4 linked regions of the Saccharomyces cerevisiae S288C genome follow. The main gene of each other region encodes a partner of the protein of the gene in region 4 in a complex. Each region holds a gene or a part of one and is shown on either strand. Other genes may lie near its edges. The genes, in order: GCN3, GCD6, GCD2 and GCD7. A codon is read from its position in the direction of its gene.

Region 1 (3,156 bases), on a different chromosome or scaffold from region 4:
CTTCTATAACAAGGATAAGGCTGAGAGCGAATGGAATGGGGTTAATGTCCAAACATTAAAAGGCGTGGGTGTGGAAAACAATGGCCAATATGCAGCATTTGTCAAAGATATGCAGGTTTATTTGGTACCTATTGAGAGGGTAGCACAATTGAAGCCATTTTTCAAATATATCGACGACGCAAATGTAACAAGAAAGCAAGAGGACGCCAGAAGGAACCCTAATCCTTCATCACAACGCGCTCAAGTGGTTACCATGTCTGTAAAGAGCGTCAACGACCCTTCGCAAAACAGACTCACTGGCTCCCTGCTGGCACATAAAGTCGCCGATGAAGAGGCTAATATTGAATTGACCTGGGCAGAAGGCACGTTTGAACAGTTCAAAGATACTATCGTGAAAGAAGCTGAAGATAAAACTTTAGTAGCCTTAGAGAAACAAGAAGACTATATAGATAATCTAGTTTGAAGTACATAATGCATCATGAAGAAAGAACAGCATCAGACATCAGTTTCACATAAAGGATGCTCTTGCGCTTTTTCTCCTTTTCTATTAAGTCATTGCGTGCATATATTATGTGATTTTTTTTAATCATACCACATCTTGATTAACTCTTCTGAAACGGCACTTGGAGTGAGGACCCCTAAATCTGTAATCAATGCAGTAATGTATTCTTGGGCGGTATAGTCGATCGTGGGCCCACGCAATGCATCTTCTAGATCGTCCGTACGACGTGTGAAATCCAAAGGAGGGCCGGCCATAGGTAGATCATCTGAAGACAATGGAAACATACGAACAAATTTGTGACTTTCAGTGACCACATAGAATGGTTTTCTTGCATTATGTGCTAAAACACCCACTGAATAGGTACCCACGAGATTTATAATACCACCTGATTCAGCAACACCCTCAGCACCAACGAACACTTTGTCAACCTTATCGATTACCGCTCCAACCGCGCTATCGACAATAAGAGTCACGGGTATGCCCTTTTGTTCAAGTAAAGTATATAGCTGGTTCCCTTGTTTGCTAGGTCTTGATTCTGTCACCACACATCTGAACCTAATAAACTTATTTGCTGCATGATTTAATAAAGAAAATACTGCTCTCGAATAACCATGTACCAAGATGATATCATCATCAGCTATGAAATCCACCCCTATTTCTGCAATCTTGTTACGCGATTTTTTGGCTCTCGATACAAAAAGCTGGCCATTTTCAATCAAATGTTGTTTACAGTTTTCCCAATCACCGTATAAATGAAGATTTCTTAAGACAAATCTCATGAAAATATCACAACCGGCTCTCAGGGAAACTGAGTTCGGAATGGATTTAATAAGTTCTTCCGTGGAGCTTTTTATTGTATTAATCATTTCTGCCGCTGTTTCTGGTGTTTTTATTCTTAATAGCGTGACCAATGCTTCAATGGCAGCAATCGGCATTGTCATCTCAGTATCTTCTTCTAAAAACCTTAGATAAGTTTCTGTAATATTAAACTCCGACATCCTTCCTCTCGATTTCTGGTATACGTAGGACTTTTAAAATTCTTTCTATCAATTACTATGAAGAAATCTATGATTAATGATGGCTTTGTCACTATTTGAGCAGTATGATTCTCATTTTACACCATAAACTTCACCAATTTTTTCATTTTTTTTTCATTTTTCTTCCGGATGAAATTTATCTATTGTAAAAAAAAAAAAACATTATGCTATGTAGAAAGCTTTAAATATGGCGACAATGTTGCTGTGTTGTATCAAATTCCCTGGATAGAGTCGTGCACTCTTAATGTGGCGAAAATGATGGCATTGCCTCCTTATTCTTTCTCATAAAAGGTATTACTAATCGTTATCTATTACCAACATAAGATATAGCTAGCAATTCTTGTAAGCACAATTACATATGTTTAGTTTTATTTTGAAAAGCAATACAAGCGCAAATTGTTTGGTCTGTTTTGGAGAGATCACCATGTAGCTGGCACTGCTGCAGATTGTCATGTAGTAAACATACTAGTAAAATATTCTTAAAATAATTTGATCAGATCAGTTTTGTTCTTCTATCTCCTATGTCATAACATACCGCTCATTTTTACTATCGTTATGTTTTTCATTCAGAAATTTTATTTTTCTTTAGGTCTTGAGTATCGACTTCCACAACATTGGATGACTGTACCTCACGATTTGTGTATTCTATTTATGCAGTATGTAATAACATATTAGTGTCACGACCGCTAGCCAATATACGATAGTGGATCTTTATTCCAAAAAATACTTATCTAACATGTTTAACAACAGATCAGATACTAAAACTTTTTGTCTGAATAAGAATTAACTACCATCTATGCACTAGCACACAAATTAGCAGTATGTTCTCATACACAGTGTAAGAAGATGACATTAAGAATGAGAAACGGTTATTAAATATAATAGAAGCTGAAATGCAAGCATTGATAACGTAACAAGATAAAGAATAAGCATATAAAGTAAAAAAACGAGACAATAACATTACTATTCATGAATACCGATTCCTTCTTCCGCATTTCTAATATCCTCGAAGAGAACTTTTAGTATATTGTGTATCATAGCCTTCAACAATAATGGAACACCAGTAATTATCATATTATTCAAACATTTCTCAATGATAGCTTTTATTCACAATGGAACCCAACAATTATTTCAAAATTCACACATTTCTTACTTCTTAGAGCAGGATTAGTTGGGTCTGGTAATTTGAACTACTATATTAGGTAAAAAATCATGCAATAAATAGTGCTGATACTTAGGGTTCTCAATTTTTAATGTCTCTTAATAATTCTTGTTCCTCGTGGCCCAATGGTCACGGCGTCTGGCTACGAACCAGAAGATTCCAGGTTCAAGTCCTGGCGGGGAAGAATTTTTTTACTTTTATAATTTTCTTATTATCTTTTCAGTTATTGAGTAAAAATATTATAATATTGGAAATGCTACGTTGCCAGTCCTGGTGCCGTACAATGCCGTATTATTTTAGCAATTCGTCATCAGGTTTCCGAGGCATTGTTACACCGTTTGGGAAAAATAAGATGTATGCACAATGGTGTATCTAAATTCAACATAAAAATAAAAAAAACAAAATGACAAACGGCAATAAAGAGACATTGTGTGCAAAGAAAGGGCATATATATC
Region 2 (4,563 bases), on a different chromosome or scaffold from region 4:
CCTAAAGATGACTTGACGACGTTAGCCACAGCCATAGTAGCCAAAACATTCTGATTACGAATATCATCACCACTTATTTTTTCACCTCCTAGGAAAAGGGTATCTGAGCGCGAGTTATTGAATAATTGGGACATCGCTAAGTTATTACAAATATAAAAGTCTTCTGTCTATTGTTATTGTCCCTTTCTTGTACTCTCTCAGTGGCCTCTCTTTTGCTTAAGTTATTTACTCTTCATGTGATACCACCGCATTTCAATTTTTTTTTTTTTCAGTTCTTTGCCACTTAGGACAAGGTCCCTCGGCAAGTGAAAAAAAAAAATCTGAGATTATTATTTCAGTAGTACTACTGAGGATAAAAACTAATATGATAAAAAATATATATATATTTGCTTTTTGCTTCTGTAACATGTAAATTACTAAATCTATATAGCGCTCACCTTTTTCTCATATTAAAGCCTTTTTATGGTAATACATGATTATGCAGGGTACTGCGTGGACTTTTATTCCTCTTCTGAGGAAGATTCTTCGTCAGCATTCTGTAACCACTCAACCCACTTTACAGTTAATTTCTTGACTTCATCATAGCGAGGGTCAGTAGAAACATTATCCCACCATTTATAAATGACATCCTCCTCAATTATGTCATTATCGTATAGAGAAACCAATGCACTAAATAGAATCAAATCCGGTTTGTCAAAACTCTGTTCTACAATTTTTTCCATTATGATGTTCATCAAATCAATATACTCTTCTTCATCAAAGGCTTGTCTCTTGAACAACAGTCCCCACTGATTAAAAACCTTCACCACAGCGTCCTTGGGACCTAATGTTTGAGTTGCAATAAAGTGGTAAACTCTTCTCAATAATGCAGTTATTGTTGCTATTCTCACCTCATGATATGTCACGTTCATACTCATTCTCAAGGTGTTCAATTCTAATAATGCTGTGTCAAGATCATGATTGTTTTCCATAGCACGCTCCACGGTGGCAATACCTTCTTTCTCAAAATCTTCGTCCTCAAATTCAGAATCAATTTCTTCTCTATCCGTGTATATACTATTGACAGACATCGTTCTTCTTTTCTTTGTCTTTTTAGTGGCGGAAGAAATTGAATCGTCACTTAAGTATAACTCATCTAATTGGTTACTCAAAGTGTTTATTTCTTTGCAGGCTTCTGTAGAACTATCTTCATCGTCAGACACCTCGCTTTCGTAAATATAACCAACACCCTTATCTCCAACAATAGAAACGGCTAGTGTCTGATCATCAAGGTCTTGGTCAAACTGCTCATTGCTTTCATTATCATACATTCTTGAGCCGGCATTTTTTAATGGACTGGCAGATATTTTTGTGTTTCTATCTAAATCCATATTATCATCAATTTTAACGTTGAAACCAATTATACAGCCATCATTTAGGCGTACATTACTCCCTAACGTGGCATTAGAGGCAATTAATGAATGGTCAATTATACTGTTATTTCCGATGATACAGTCATCCCAAATGAAACTGTTCTTGATTCTAATATTTTCACCGATTTGGCAGTTCCTTCCAATCACGGAATTCTCAATTTTCGTACCCTCTCCGATTTTTGTTCCTGATCCAATTGCAGTGCACTTACCAATTTTACAGGATTGGGCCAAAACAACGTCTTTTTCCTTGTATATATGTCTTGATTCATAAGAATACGTTTGATCGTCCTGTATGTTAGAGTCTAAGACCAAGGGATAACACCATCTACCTAAAAAGTCTTGAGAAATGGTGTCGTAAGTTTGCCAACTTTCAACTCTTACAGCATATTCGTCCGTCAAATAGGCATATATATGCTTTCCCAATATATCGCTTGAAATGACACCTTTAACAAAGTCTGTCCTTAATGATTGGTAGTCAAAATTTTCTTGAAATATCAAAGGTACATGAGATGTACAAATGTCAATTCTACAATCGATGAGGTCATTCCTTATGACAAATTCATCGACATTATCCAACAATTCTGGGTCAATCTGAATGGAAGTCTTCTCTCTAGAGCTTGGTAATGGTAAATCTTGGTAATAAATACACCTACTGGTGGATTTGTCTAAGACAAATGCGGCAGGCTCAATAGTTCTTGTTTTTGGATAGGTACTCGCTTTGCTCAAACACATTGTCGAGATGTGATCTTTATCTTGCAAATGCATTTTTTTGTGAAATTCTAGCATTTTGCTGAAATCGATGTTAGTCAATACATCACCACTGACTAAAATAAAATCTCCAGTAATGATACCTCTATTATCTAGATCTCTCATAACATCACCCGTACATCTAGCTTCTGGAGACATAATGGTGGTAATTTTAAATGGAGACCAAGGCAAGTTCCACTTAGAATTCTCAATATAGTCATTAATTTGGTTGGCATGAGAAGAGCAAATTAAGAAAACTTCATGTACGCCAGCCTTAGCCAAAAATTCTAAGGTGTATTCAATGAGAGGTACGTTAGCCAGTGGCAGCAAACACCTTGGCTTGACAGCTGTCAGTGGCATAAACCTAGTTTCATAAGAGTCTGTCAAGACAACGGCCTGGAGACGATCTTCAACATCCATATCAGAGTTCTTTCCATGGTTGCCTAGTCCACTTTTCTTTTGTCCCTTTTTTCCAGCCATCTTTTGCCTTATGAGTGGTTTCTATTCTATTTTTAACACAAGACCACTTTTAGTTATTTTTATACTTATCCCACAAGGTGGTCCATCTGCCATCTTTGAATTGGTGATTTAACTCTTCGCATTAATCTACTGAAAAAAAAAAAAAAAAAAAAAAGAACTGAAAACCATCTAAAGTCAAATAAGCTCATGTAATACGGGCATGTTGCAAACGCGTGTGAAAAAAAAAGAGAAAGTGCTCGAGGTGGGGTTTGAACCCACGACGGTCGCGTTGCTTTTAAAGGCCTGTTTGAAAGGTCTTTGGCACAGAAACTTCGGAAACCGAATGTTGCTATAAGCACGAAGCTCTAACCACTGAGCTACACGAGCATTTTCGAAAGAGACGTAAATAACATTGTTATTTATACTGGAATTAGTACTAATAATTTTATTAAAAAAAAAAATAGCTCTTTCTGAGAATTCTTTGAATTTTGGGAAAATTGTCGGGATATTAGTGTTAAAGAGGCCATTGTTGGAATAAAAATCAACTATCATCTACTAACTAGTATTTACGTTACTAGTATATTATCATATACGGTGTTAGAAGATGACGCAAATGATGAGAAATAGTCATCTAAATTAGTGGAAGCTGAAACGCAAGGATTGATAATGTAATAGGATCAATGAATATTAACATATAAAACGATGATAATAATATTTATAGAATTGTGTAGAATTGCAGATTCCCTTTTATGGATTCCTAAATCCTCGAGGAGAACTTCTAGTATATTCTGTATACCTAATATTATAGCCTTTATCAACAATGGAATCCCAACAATTATCTAATTACCCACATATATCTCATGGTAGCGCCTGTGCTTCGGTTACTTCTAAGGAAGTCCACACAAATCAAGATCCGTTAGACGTTTCAGCTTCCAAAATTCAAGAATATGATAAGGCTTCCACTAAGGCTAACTCTCAACAGACAACAACACCTGCTTCATCAGCTGTTCCAGAGAACCCCCATCATGCCTCTCCTCAACCTGCTTCAGTACCACCTCCACAGAATGGGCCGTACCCACAGCAGTGCATGATGACCCAAAACCAAGCCAATCCATCTGGTTGGTCATTTTACGGACACCCATCTATGATTCCGTATACACCTTATCAAATGTCGCCTATGTACTTTCCACCTGGGCCACAATCACAGTTTCCGCAGTATCCATCATCAGTTGGAACGCCTCTGAGCACTCCATCACCTGAGTCAGGTAATACATTTACTGATTCATCCTCAGCGGACTCTGATATGACATCCACTAAAAAATATGTCAGACCACCACCAATGTTAACCTCACCTAATGACTTTCCAAATTGGGTTAAAACATACATCAAATTTTTACAAAACTCGAATCTCGGTGGTATTATTCCGACAGTAAACGGAAAACCCGTACGTCAGATCACTGATGATGAACTCACCTTCTTGTATAACACTTTTCAAATATTTGCTCCCTCTCAATTCCTACCTACCTGGGTCAAAGACATCCTATCCGTTGATTATACGGATATCATGAAAATTCTTTCCAAAAGTATTGAAAAAATGCAATCTGATACCCAAGAGGCAAACGACATTGTGACCCTGGCAAATTTGCAATATAATGGCAGTACACCTGCAGATGCATTTGAAACAAAAGTCACAAACATTATCGACAGACTGAACAATAATGGCATTCATATCAATAACAAGGTCGCATGCCAATTAATTATGAGAGGTCTATCTGGCGAATATAAATTTTTACGCTACACACGTCATCGACATCTAAATATGACAGTCGCTGAACTGTTCTTAGATATCCATGCTATTTATGAAGAACAACAGGGATCGAGAAACAGCAAACCTAATTACAGGAGAAATCGGAGTGATGAGAAGAATGATTCTCGCAGCTATACG
Region 3 (4,006 bases), on a different chromosome or scaffold from region 4:
CAGTGACAACATCAACTACTTAATATATAAGAACAAATAAAATATCCCAAAAATATCATATATCCTCATCACATTTGCAAGTCTAGCGCTTCGATGCGTTGTGAACACTTTGTCAATGTATTTAGTTGTATTCATACCCAATTTATTGGCACTTATTTGATACTCACCATGCAGGGTAATAGAAAATGTGCTGAAAAAAAGCTAAACCTTTCTTATTAAGAAAATGGGAACCATAACAGTGGTGATTAATGAGGGACCAATACTGTTGATAAGGGCATTGCACCGAGCAACGACCAACAAGAAAATGTTCAGAAGTACAGTTTGGAGACGTTTTGCATCTACCGGCGAAATTGCGAAAGCAAAGCTGGATGAATTCTTGATATACCACAAGACAGATGCGAAACTAAAACCATTCATTTACCGTCCCAAGAATGCTCAGATATTGTTAACTAAAGATATTAGGGATCCAAAAACAAGGGAACCATTACAACCGAGACCTCCCGTAAAGCCACTGTCGAAGCAAACGTTAAATGATTTTATTTATTCGGTTGAACCCAACTCGACAGAACTACTAGATTGGTTCAAAGAATGGACAGGGACCTCCATAAGAAAGCGCGCTATTTGGACGTACATCTCACCAATTCATGTTCAAAAGATGTTGACTGCGTCATTTTTCAAAATCGGTAAATATGCGCACATGGTAGGACTCTTATATGGTATTGAGCACAAGTTTCTCAAAGCGCAAAATCCATCCGTATTTGATATCGAGCATTTTTTTAATACTAATATCATGTGTGCTTTGCATCGAAATAGGTTGAAAGACTATAAAGATGCAGAAATTGCTCAGAGGAAACTGCAGGTTGCTTGGAAAAAGGTATTAAATAGAAAAAATAATACTGGACTAGCAAATATTCTTGTTGCAACATTAGGTAGACAGATTGGATTTACCCCAGAGCTGACGGGCTTGCAACCTGTAGATATTAGTTTACCAGATATCCCCAATTCATCAAGTGGCGCGGAACTAAAGGACTTGCTAAGCAAATACGAGGGGATATACCTTATTGCAAGAACATTATTGGACATCGATCAACACAATGCTCAATATCTAGAATTGCAAGAATTTATACGCCAATATCAAAATGCATTAAGTGAATCCAGCGATCCATACGACACGCATTTGAAAGCGTTGGGACTGTTGGAAACACCACCTCCTCAGGAATCCACCGAAAAAGAGGAAAAATAGTACCAAAACACCCCATAGGAAATATATAAATAAACATACCTGTAAATACTAAAAAGTAGAACACAGTTCGTCACATATATTGCTATTATTGTATTAATTATGTTTATATTTACCCGGGAATCTCTTCACAATTTTCAGTACCTCTCGCTTTTTTCCAATTTTTCAATTTTTTTTTTTCGAGTTTAGTGAAAATGAGTATTCTACAACAAGGCATCACCAGCTATAGATAATCAGCGTAAGTGCATAAGATCTTATTTTCACCACGTAAGAAATACGTTGTCAAAGAAGCGTCGATAATCAAATTGCTATGAGCGAATCGGAAGCCAAATCTAGGTCGGCTACACCGCCAAGTAAAGCTAAACAAGCTACTCCAACAACTACAGCTGCAGCTAATGGAGAAAAGAAATTAACAAACAAGGAGCTAAAAGAACTAAAGAAACAAGAAAAAGCTGCAAAGAGAGCTGCAATGAAGCAGGCTAATGGTATATCCATTGAACAACAGCAACAACAAGCACAAATGAAAAAAGAGAAGAAACAACTACAACGTGAGCAACAACAGAAAAGAGAGCAAAAGCAAAAAAATGCCAATAAAAAAAAACAAAATGAACGAAACGTGAAAAAGAGCACACTTTTTGGTCATCTGGAAACTACTGAAGAAAGAAGAGCGACAATTTTAGCTTTAACCAGTGCAGTATCATCTCCAAAAACTTCGCGAATCACCGCTGCTGGGTTGATGGTCCCCGTGGTGGCTAGTGCATTATCAGGATCTAACGTATTAACGGCTTCTTCCTTGATGCCCGTGGGTCCAAACGCGTCGTCTACTGTATCTGCATCAGCTCCAGCTTCAACAACAACGACTCTTCCTGCCTCTTCTGCAGCACTCTCTGCCGGTACCAGTTCTGCGTCAACAAATACTCCAACAGCTATACAACAAGAGATTGCTTCATCAAACGCTTCTGATGTTGCCAAGACATTGGCATCTATCTCGTTAGAGGCTGGTGAGTTTAATGTCATTCCCGGTATATCGTCAGTGATCCCTACCGTGTTAGAACAATCATTTGACAACTCCAGCTTGATATCGTCTGTTAAGGAACTTTTATTGAATAAAGACCTTATCCATCCGTCGATATTATTATTAACTTCTCATCTAGCACACTATAAAATCGTGGGATCCATCCCACGTTGCATAGCCATGCTAGAGGTTTTCCAAATTGTTATCAAAGACTATCAAACACCTAAGGGAACTACCTTGTCACGTAACTTAACAAGTTATTTGTCACACCAGATTGATCTTTTGAAAAAAGCTAGACCTTTAAGTGTTACTATGGGTAATGCTATCAGATGGTTAAAGCAAGAAATTTCATTAATTGACCCATCTACCCCCGACAAAGCCGCCAAAAAAGACCTTTGTGAGAAAATTGGGCAGTTTGCTAAAGAAAAAATCGAACTGGCTGATCAACTAATTATAGACAATGCCTCTACACAAATTGAAGAATCTACTACTATTGTGACATATGGTTCATCAAAGGTTCTAACTGAACTGTTACTGCATAATGCAATCAGTTTAAAGAAAAACATCAAAGTGATTGTCGTCGATTCGAGACCACTATTTGAAGGGCGGAAAATGGCAGAAACTTTAAGAAATGCTGGTGTCAATGTTATGTATGCACTTATTACAAGTTTGGATACGATATTCAATATGGATGTGGACTATGTGTTTTTAGGAGCCCATTCTATCCTATCTAATGGGTTCCTATATTCAAGAGCTGGGACAGCAATGTTGGCTATGAGCGCTAAGAGAAGAAATATACCTGTATTAGTCTGCTGCGAAAGTTTGAAGTTTTCACAAAGAGTACAATTGGATAGTGTCACATTTAATGAACTGGCAGATCCAAATGACCTGGTTAATATAGATTACGAAAATCCAGTCGAGAGACGCGGTAATAAAGGTGCGTTATTAAACCAATTTATCAAAGAAAGAAAATTTGAAAAGAAAAAGCTAGCAATGGAGAATAAGCCAAAGGGTAATAAAATTGGCGGTAAGAAAGGATCTGAAGGAGAAAGCAAGGACGCCAGTAATGAAGAAGACAGCAACAGCAAAAATATTTTGGATGGTTGGCAAGAGTTACCTTCGTTAAATATTGTCAACATCTTATACGATTTAACACCACCAGAATATATTAAAAAAGTGATCACTGAATTCGGCGCTTTGCCACCTTCATCTGTCCCTGTTATTTTAAGAGAGTACAAAGGTTCCGCATAAGCATATACAACATTCGTTAATGGTCGTCCACGTGTGTATACTACATATATATTATATATATATATATATATACATATATATATATATTACACCTAATACGATGAAAAAATACATCTAATGAAAAGAATTGTTTTTATCCTTAGCTTTCCAAAAAGCTTGGTATATATAACAAGATTTAGGCTAGAGAAATGATGTAATTATATAGGGCTATATACAGAGTAAAAGAAACAAAAACGGAGAAAAAAAGCAAGCAAAATGTTACTCTCAGTCATCGATATCGTTAGCTTCAGCAACCGCATCAGATTCGGCCTTGCTTCCAACAACTCCTTTAACGAAAGAAGCCACATTAGCAGGAGGCAAGATGGCAATCATTAATATAATATATTCGTAAATGGCTTCAGGAATGGATCTTTGGTAAATTCCCAATAAATCGGCTGGCTGAGGGTATACAGTCAATGCTTTATAAAACTTAGAGGCTGCTTCCAGTTCCTTACCTTGTT
Region 4 (3,240 bases):
AGCAGCGGTCCATTGGACCTCCTGCATCCATTGCTTATCATTTAATTCATTGCTATGAGGAGCTTTACCGGACCTTGACACAGAAACGACTTGGTAGCCCGAAGTCACTGCTTCTTGACAAATTCTTTTACCTAAAAATCCATTGCCTCCAAAAACTATAAGCTTTGGTATCATTTTCTACTTCAGTTCAAGCTTTAGCTGTATTTTTGTATACGATACATATTTCCCTTATTTTTTTATTTTTTCAATGTTTTCCTGTTTTTCTATTATGCAAAAGCGACAAGATGGCATTACGAGGAGACACTCAACTAAAAAAAAAAAATGAGTCAAATTGCCAGACTTTGTAGAGAAGTAAAAAGTTAATGCTAAGATGCTCTTTATGTATTAGTCTTTTAACATATTCAAGGATACGTAAATATTCTGATTATATACTAATAATTAATAATAAAAAAATTGTTTTGATCTACAAGATTTTTATTTATTTTCATGAGTAATGTACAAAAGACACATCATCACGCCTTATTTTTATCCAAATGCACATCAATTTGCTTGTAATTATCCCACGCAATACGATATATAAAACTTGGATTGAACCCACCGACGTTTGTAATGTAGATATCAATATTTTCAGGCGGAACATAATCGGTAATTTGATTAACTGTATCTAATCTTTTTCTTGGATCCATTCTAGGTAATATACGTTGGGACCCACCAAATTCGACAAACTTCTCTACGTCGAACGGATATAGAGGAGAAAGCTTATACAAACCTGCAACAGCAAATACAGGGGTTCTAAATTCTCGGGCGCATTCACAAACGGATGATACACCTGAATTTGACGAGATAGTCCCCCCATTGACAAAAACGGCTTTAGTGCCGATAATAACCTTACCCACACGGGACATTAAAGCAAAAACAGCTGAGTCTGGGACTACTAGGGTTTCTATGTTGTGCTGTGCTAATTTTTTGGCAAACTCATGTGCATTCTTGGTGTTATTAGGGAACCCCTCTGTAACTAAAACCGTAAATGTTCTATTACTACGTTCGCGAGCAGTAATCAGAAATTTTAATACGGTTTTTGAATCAGGTGTGGGAGTTAATAAAATCTCATGATCGTGAATCAAATCAATAGCAATTTGCTGAATACCTTCATCAATGTTTTTTATCTCATCTATAAGATCCTTGATACCCTGAATGGCTACTTGACGGTAATCAGTCTTGGTTTTCATACTAGAGCTCCCTGAACTATTTTTTCTATTCTGATGAGGTTGCTCCGGTTTCTGTAATAAATTAAACATAGAGGAAATCAAAGGTTCAGCAACGGATGTGGATGTGACAGTTGTGCTCATAGTGTCTTCTTCTACTTCATCCCTCAAAACAGCCAGTATTCTTCTAATTACGTTACCGCAACTGAAAGCAGTAGGATGAGCTTTTTCTAGACTATTACCTAAATCTCTGATTTGTTCAATAAGGTCATTAACATGGTTCCAACGAGCTGCAGAGATAAATCGCATTAACAGTTGTAAAGTTTCCAAGGCGATGGCGTATGAACCTTGCACTTGTCTTCTTTTTAACTTAGCAACGAAAGTGTCAATGGTAACATTCACATCAGATGTTGCCGCATTCGGATGTACTGAAGTGAATGCTTGAGAGGACATCTTATGTTGGGCAAAAGTTCGAAAGTTGGCGTGTTGTGTTTACTGGTTCCGCACGAGTAATGAATGGTCTGTTTCATTTATGAAGGTTTTTTCTATGTCCATTTTTTTTTTTCAGCATCACGAAGAAAAAAAGCTTGCGGTTGGGAAGCAGAGGTATCATATACTCAAGCTGTATAGTTCAAAGCCTTTCATAAAGGCTATTCCTTAGTATATATGATAATGGGCTTGCTATGTGTTTTTGAATCTATCTAAAATTTCTTGCTATGTAGTCGTGTGTAGCATAGAGACATATCAAGAAAAGGCTAAAATATCTTCGGTTATGCACCTTATTCACCGTTATATTCGGCCAGATTTCTTGCAGTTTCTATTAAAAGGGCTCTAAGTTTCATATCCTCTGGGGCTAAAGCTAAACCTCTCTCGCATGTTGCCCTAGCCTCTTCCCACTGTCTCAATTTTAGCAAACAGTCCGCCTTCCTGACAAATACGTCTGGTTGGATAAGTCCCGTACCAAGTAAGAAATCCAAGTCTTGCAACGCCTCTAAATGCTTTCCGAGTATTAAACATAAATCTATTTTACTACGAAGCATAAAGTGTAGCTCTGGTAGCTGAATAGCAAAAGCTTCCCAAGGCGCTCTTTTTCTTTGTGCCATTTCGATTGCTAAAGAAACATTCTTCAATGCCTCATTCAATTTTTTTTGTTGTAAATTCTTCATACCACTTTCAAATAAACCCTTGATCATTTTGCTTAGAGCTTCATTCGGTTGTGGTGTAAAATTTGGGTTGGTTTCTCCAATCAAAGATGTAGTGAGAACATTTATTTGATCGATATTAGTTTCGGTAGATAGTGCAACAACAGCATCACTCGCAGTGATCAGTTTACTGTTTGCATTGTATTCAAGGGTAACCATGGTTGAATAAGCTTGCTTTGGTATGCCTTTAACGCAAGTTGAAGGAGACGTTTCTTTGATTTTAAGGCTATTGGTTTTATGTTCAAAGATATAATCTAATTGTTACGTGTGCTCCTACATCCGTTTGAAACGATCCATAAACGATCTAAAAAATATAATATTAGACAAGCCAAATACGTTTAAATATACTTAAATCACAGCATATTCACATTCAACTATTTGTTATATATTTAAATCTGTTTTATAAAAGACAGGAGTACCAGTTAGTTTGTGTTTTCTTGTTGCAATTATAAAATCTTCAAAATCATGTGGATTTTTATTGAATTTCTATATCGAGATGAATGTAAATATGTATACAGTTTAGGGTAGGGAAAAAAGAAAGCTTGTTCTCGTTTGTCCCTTATAAATCAGCATCATCTTCATCAGGCAATGGCAAAGCAGTAGCTTGTTCCATTTCTTGTTGGTATTGTTGCATCAATTGTTCATCGACTTGGACTTCTGGTGGGGCTAAAGCTGGAGAAGCAACAAATTCTAATTGTGGGTTACCAGCCAATTTTCTGGCCAACCATAAGAAAGGCTTTTCAAAGTTGTAGTTGGACTTGGCAGAAATATCGTAGTATTGCAAGTTTTTCTTTCTGTGGAAAGTGATAGTCTTGGCCTTGACCTTTCTTTCT

The links.
Region 1: the proteins of GCD7 (region 4) and GCN3 are in contact, whole or in part, in a cryo-EM structure (PDB 6QG2), measured with the Saccharomyces cerevisiae proteins. Residues at the interface, in NP_013394.1 of Saccharomyces cerevisiae: Val113 (codon at 1,322), Pro116 (codon at 1,313), Ser119 (codon at 1,304), Ser120 (codon at 1,301), Met121 (codon at 1,298), Phe122 (codon at 1,295), Leu125 (codon at 1,286), Gln126 (codon at 1,283), Lys127 (codon at 1,280), Val267 (codon at 860), Asn268 (codon at 857), Glu283 (codon at 812), Arg286 (codon at 803), Arg289 (codon at 794), Tyr305 (codon at 746), Phe307 (codon at 740), Asp308 (codon at 737), Lys311 (codon at 728), Pro343 (codon at 632), Glu344 (codon at 629), Asn345 (codon at 626), Pro358 (codon at 587), Ser359 (codon at 584), Phe360 (codon at 581), Tyr362 (codon at 575), Arg363 (codon at 572), Trp366 (codon at 563), His375 (codon at 536); in NP_012951.1 of Saccharomyces cerevisiae: Phe76 (codon at 1,275), Arg79 (codon at 1,266), His82 (codon at 1,257), Leu83 (codon at 1,254), Tyr84 (codon at 1,251), His93 (codon at 1,224), Asn97 (codon at 1,212), Leu100 (codon at 1,203), Ile115 (codon at 1,158), Asp118 (codon at 1,149), Phe119 (codon at 1,146), Ile120 (codon at 1,143), Ala121 (codon at 1,140), His221 (codon at 840), Arg224 (codon at 831), Glu278 (codon at 669), Thr281 (codon at 660), Ala282 (codon at 657), Gly288 (codon at 639), Val289 (codon at 636), Leu290 (codon at 633), Thr291 (codon at 630), Pro292 (codon at 627), Ser293 (codon at 624), Ala294 (codon at 621), Ser296 (codon at 615), Glu297 (codon at 612), Glu298 (codon at 609), Lys301 (codon at 600), Met302 (codon at 597).
Region 2: the proteins of GCD7 (region 4) and GCD6 are in contact, whole or in part, in a cryo-EM structure (PDB 6QG2), measured with the Saccharomyces cerevisiae proteins. Residues at the interface, in NP_013394.1 of Saccharomyces cerevisiae: Ser16 (codon at 1,613), Asp23 (codon at 1,592), Lys30 (codon at 1,571), Arg31 (codon at 1,568), Ala77 (codon at 1,430), His78 (codon at 1,427), Pro79 (codon at 1,424), Asn221 (codon at 998), Glu310 (codon at 731), Glu314 (codon at 719), Phe315 (codon at 716), Gly316 (codon at 713), Gly317 (codon at 710), Ser318 (codon at 707), Gln319 (codon at 704), Leu322 (codon at 695), Pro323 (codon at 692), Arg324 (codon at 689), Met325 (codon at 686), Asp326 (codon at 683), Pro327 (codon at 680), Arg328 (codon at 677), Lys329 (codon at 674), Asp332 (codon at 665), Thr333 (codon at 662), Ile337 (codon at 650); in NP_010497.3 of Saccharomyces cerevisiae: Glu65 (codon at 2,447), Trp99 (codon at 2,345), Ser172 (codon at 2,126), Thr173 (codon at 2,123), Tyr174 (codon at 2,120), Lys176 (codon at 2,114), Thr177 (codon at 2,111), Asp297 (codon at 1,751), Gly300 (codon at 1,742), Arg301 (codon at 1,739), Trp302 (codon at 1,736), Tyr304 (codon at 1,730), Asp309 (codon at 1,715), Ser310 (codon at 1,712), Asn311 (codon at 1,709), Ile312 (codon at 1,706), Asp314 (codon at 1,700), Tyr320 (codon at 1,682), Glu321 (codon at 1,679), Ser322 (codon at 1,676), His324 (codon at 1,670), Lys341 (codon at 1,619), Cys342 (codon at 1,616).
Region 3: the proteins of GCD7 (region 4) and GCD2 are in contact, whole or in part, in a cryo-EM structure (PDB 6I7T), measured with the Saccharomyces cerevisiae proteins. Residues at the interface, in NP_013394.1 of Saccharomyces cerevisiae: His183 (codon at 1,112), Ile185 (codon at 1,106), Thr212 (codon at 1,025), Glu217 (codon at 1,010), Phe219 (codon at 1,004), Pro220 (codon at 1,001), Lys224 (codon at 989), His227 (codon at 980), Glu228 (codon at 977), Lys231 (codon at 968), Ala234 (codon at 959), Asn237 (codon at 950), Ile238 (codon at 947), Glu239 (codon at 944), Thr240 (codon at 941), Leu241 (codon at 938), Val242 (codon at 935), Val243 (codon at 932), Pro244 (codon at 929), Asp245 (codon at 926), Ser246 (codon at 923), Ala247 (codon at 920), Val248 (codon at 917), Phe249 (codon at 914), Ala250 (codon at 911), Leu251 (codon at 908), Ser253 (codon at 902), Arg254 (codon at 899), Ser276 (codon at 833), Gly277 (codon at 830); in NP_011597.1 of Saccharomyces cerevisiae: Leu247 (codon at 2,289), Glu248 (codon at 2,292), Gln249 (codon at 2,295), Tyr403 (codon at 2,757), Ser431 (codon at 2,841), Arg432 (codon at 2,844), Phe435 (codon at 2,853), Arg438 (codon at 2,862), Ala441 (codon at 2,871), Glu442 (codon at 2,874), Arg445 (codon at 2,883), Asn446 (codon at 2,886), Val451 (codon at 2,901), Met452 (codon at 2,904), Tyr453 (codon at 2,907), Ala454 (codon at 2,910), Leu455 (codon at 2,913), Ile456 (codon at 2,916), Thr457 (codon at 2,919), Ser458 (codon at 2,922), Asp460 (codon at 2,928), Thr461 (codon at 2,931), Asn464 (codon at 2,940), Ala487 (codon at 3,009), Gly488 (codon at 3,012), Ala490 (codon at 3,018), Met491 (codon at 3,021), Met494 (codon at 3,030), Arg498 (codon at 3,042), Ser520 (codon at 3,108).

Annotation. Positions count from the first base shown.
Region 1 is NC_001143.9:488,156-491,311, forward strand, and holds GCN3 (translation initiation factor eIF2B subunit alpha), read right to left. Parts: upstream 1,501-3,156; coding exon 583-1,500; downstream 1-582. Other genes in the region: RPC37 (DNA-directed RNA polymerase III subunit C37), read left to right, coding at 1-463. UniProt on the Saccharomyces cerevisiae protein: Acts as a component of the translation initiation factor 2B (eIF2B) complex, which catalyzes the exchange of GDP for GTP on the eukaryotic initiation factor 2 (eIF2) complex gamma subunit.
Region 2 is NC_001136.10:882,803-887,365, reverse strand, and holds GCD6 (translation initiation factor eIF2B catalytic subunit epsilon), read right to left. Parts: upstream 2,640-4,563; coding exon 501-2,639; downstream 1-500. Other genes in the region: chaperonin-containing T-complex alpha subunit TCP1, read right to left, coding at 1-134; YDR210C-C (gag protein), read left to right, coding at 3,439-4,563. UniProt on the Saccharomyces cerevisiae protein: Acts as a catalytic component of the translation initiation factor 2B (eIF2B) complex, which catalyzes the exchange of GDP for GTP on eukaryotic initiation factor 2 (eIF2) and is regulated by phosphorylated eIF2.
Region 3 is NC_001139.9:644,360-648,365, reverse strand, and holds GCD2 (translation initiation factor eIF2B subunit delta), read left to right. Parts: upstream 1-1,550; coding exon 1,551-3,506; downstream 3,507-4,006. Other genes in the region: mitochondrial 37S ribosomal protein mS44 MRP13, read left to right, coding at 224-1,243; TOM complex receptor protein TOM20, read right to left, coding at 3,771-4,006. UniProt on the Saccharomyces cerevisiae protein: Acts as a component of the translation initiation factor 2B (eIF2B) complex, which catalyzes the exchange of GDP for GTP on the eukaryotic initiation factor 2 (eIF2) complex gamma subunit.
Region 4 is NC_001144.5:717,805-721,044, forward strand, and holds GCD7 (translation initiation factor eIF2B subunit beta), read right to left. Parts: upstream 1,659-3,240; coding exon 513-1,658; downstream 1-512. Other genes in the region: ubiquinone biosynthesis protein COQ11, read right to left, coding at 1-174; Sec63 complex subunit SEC72, read right to left, coding at 1,985-2,566; Ran GTPase GSP1, read right to left, coding at 2,967-3,240. UniProt on the Saccharomyces cerevisiae protein: Acts as a component of the translation initiation factor 2B (eIF2B) complex, which catalyzes the exchange of GDP for GTP on the eukaryotic initiation factor 2 (eIF2) complex gamma subunit.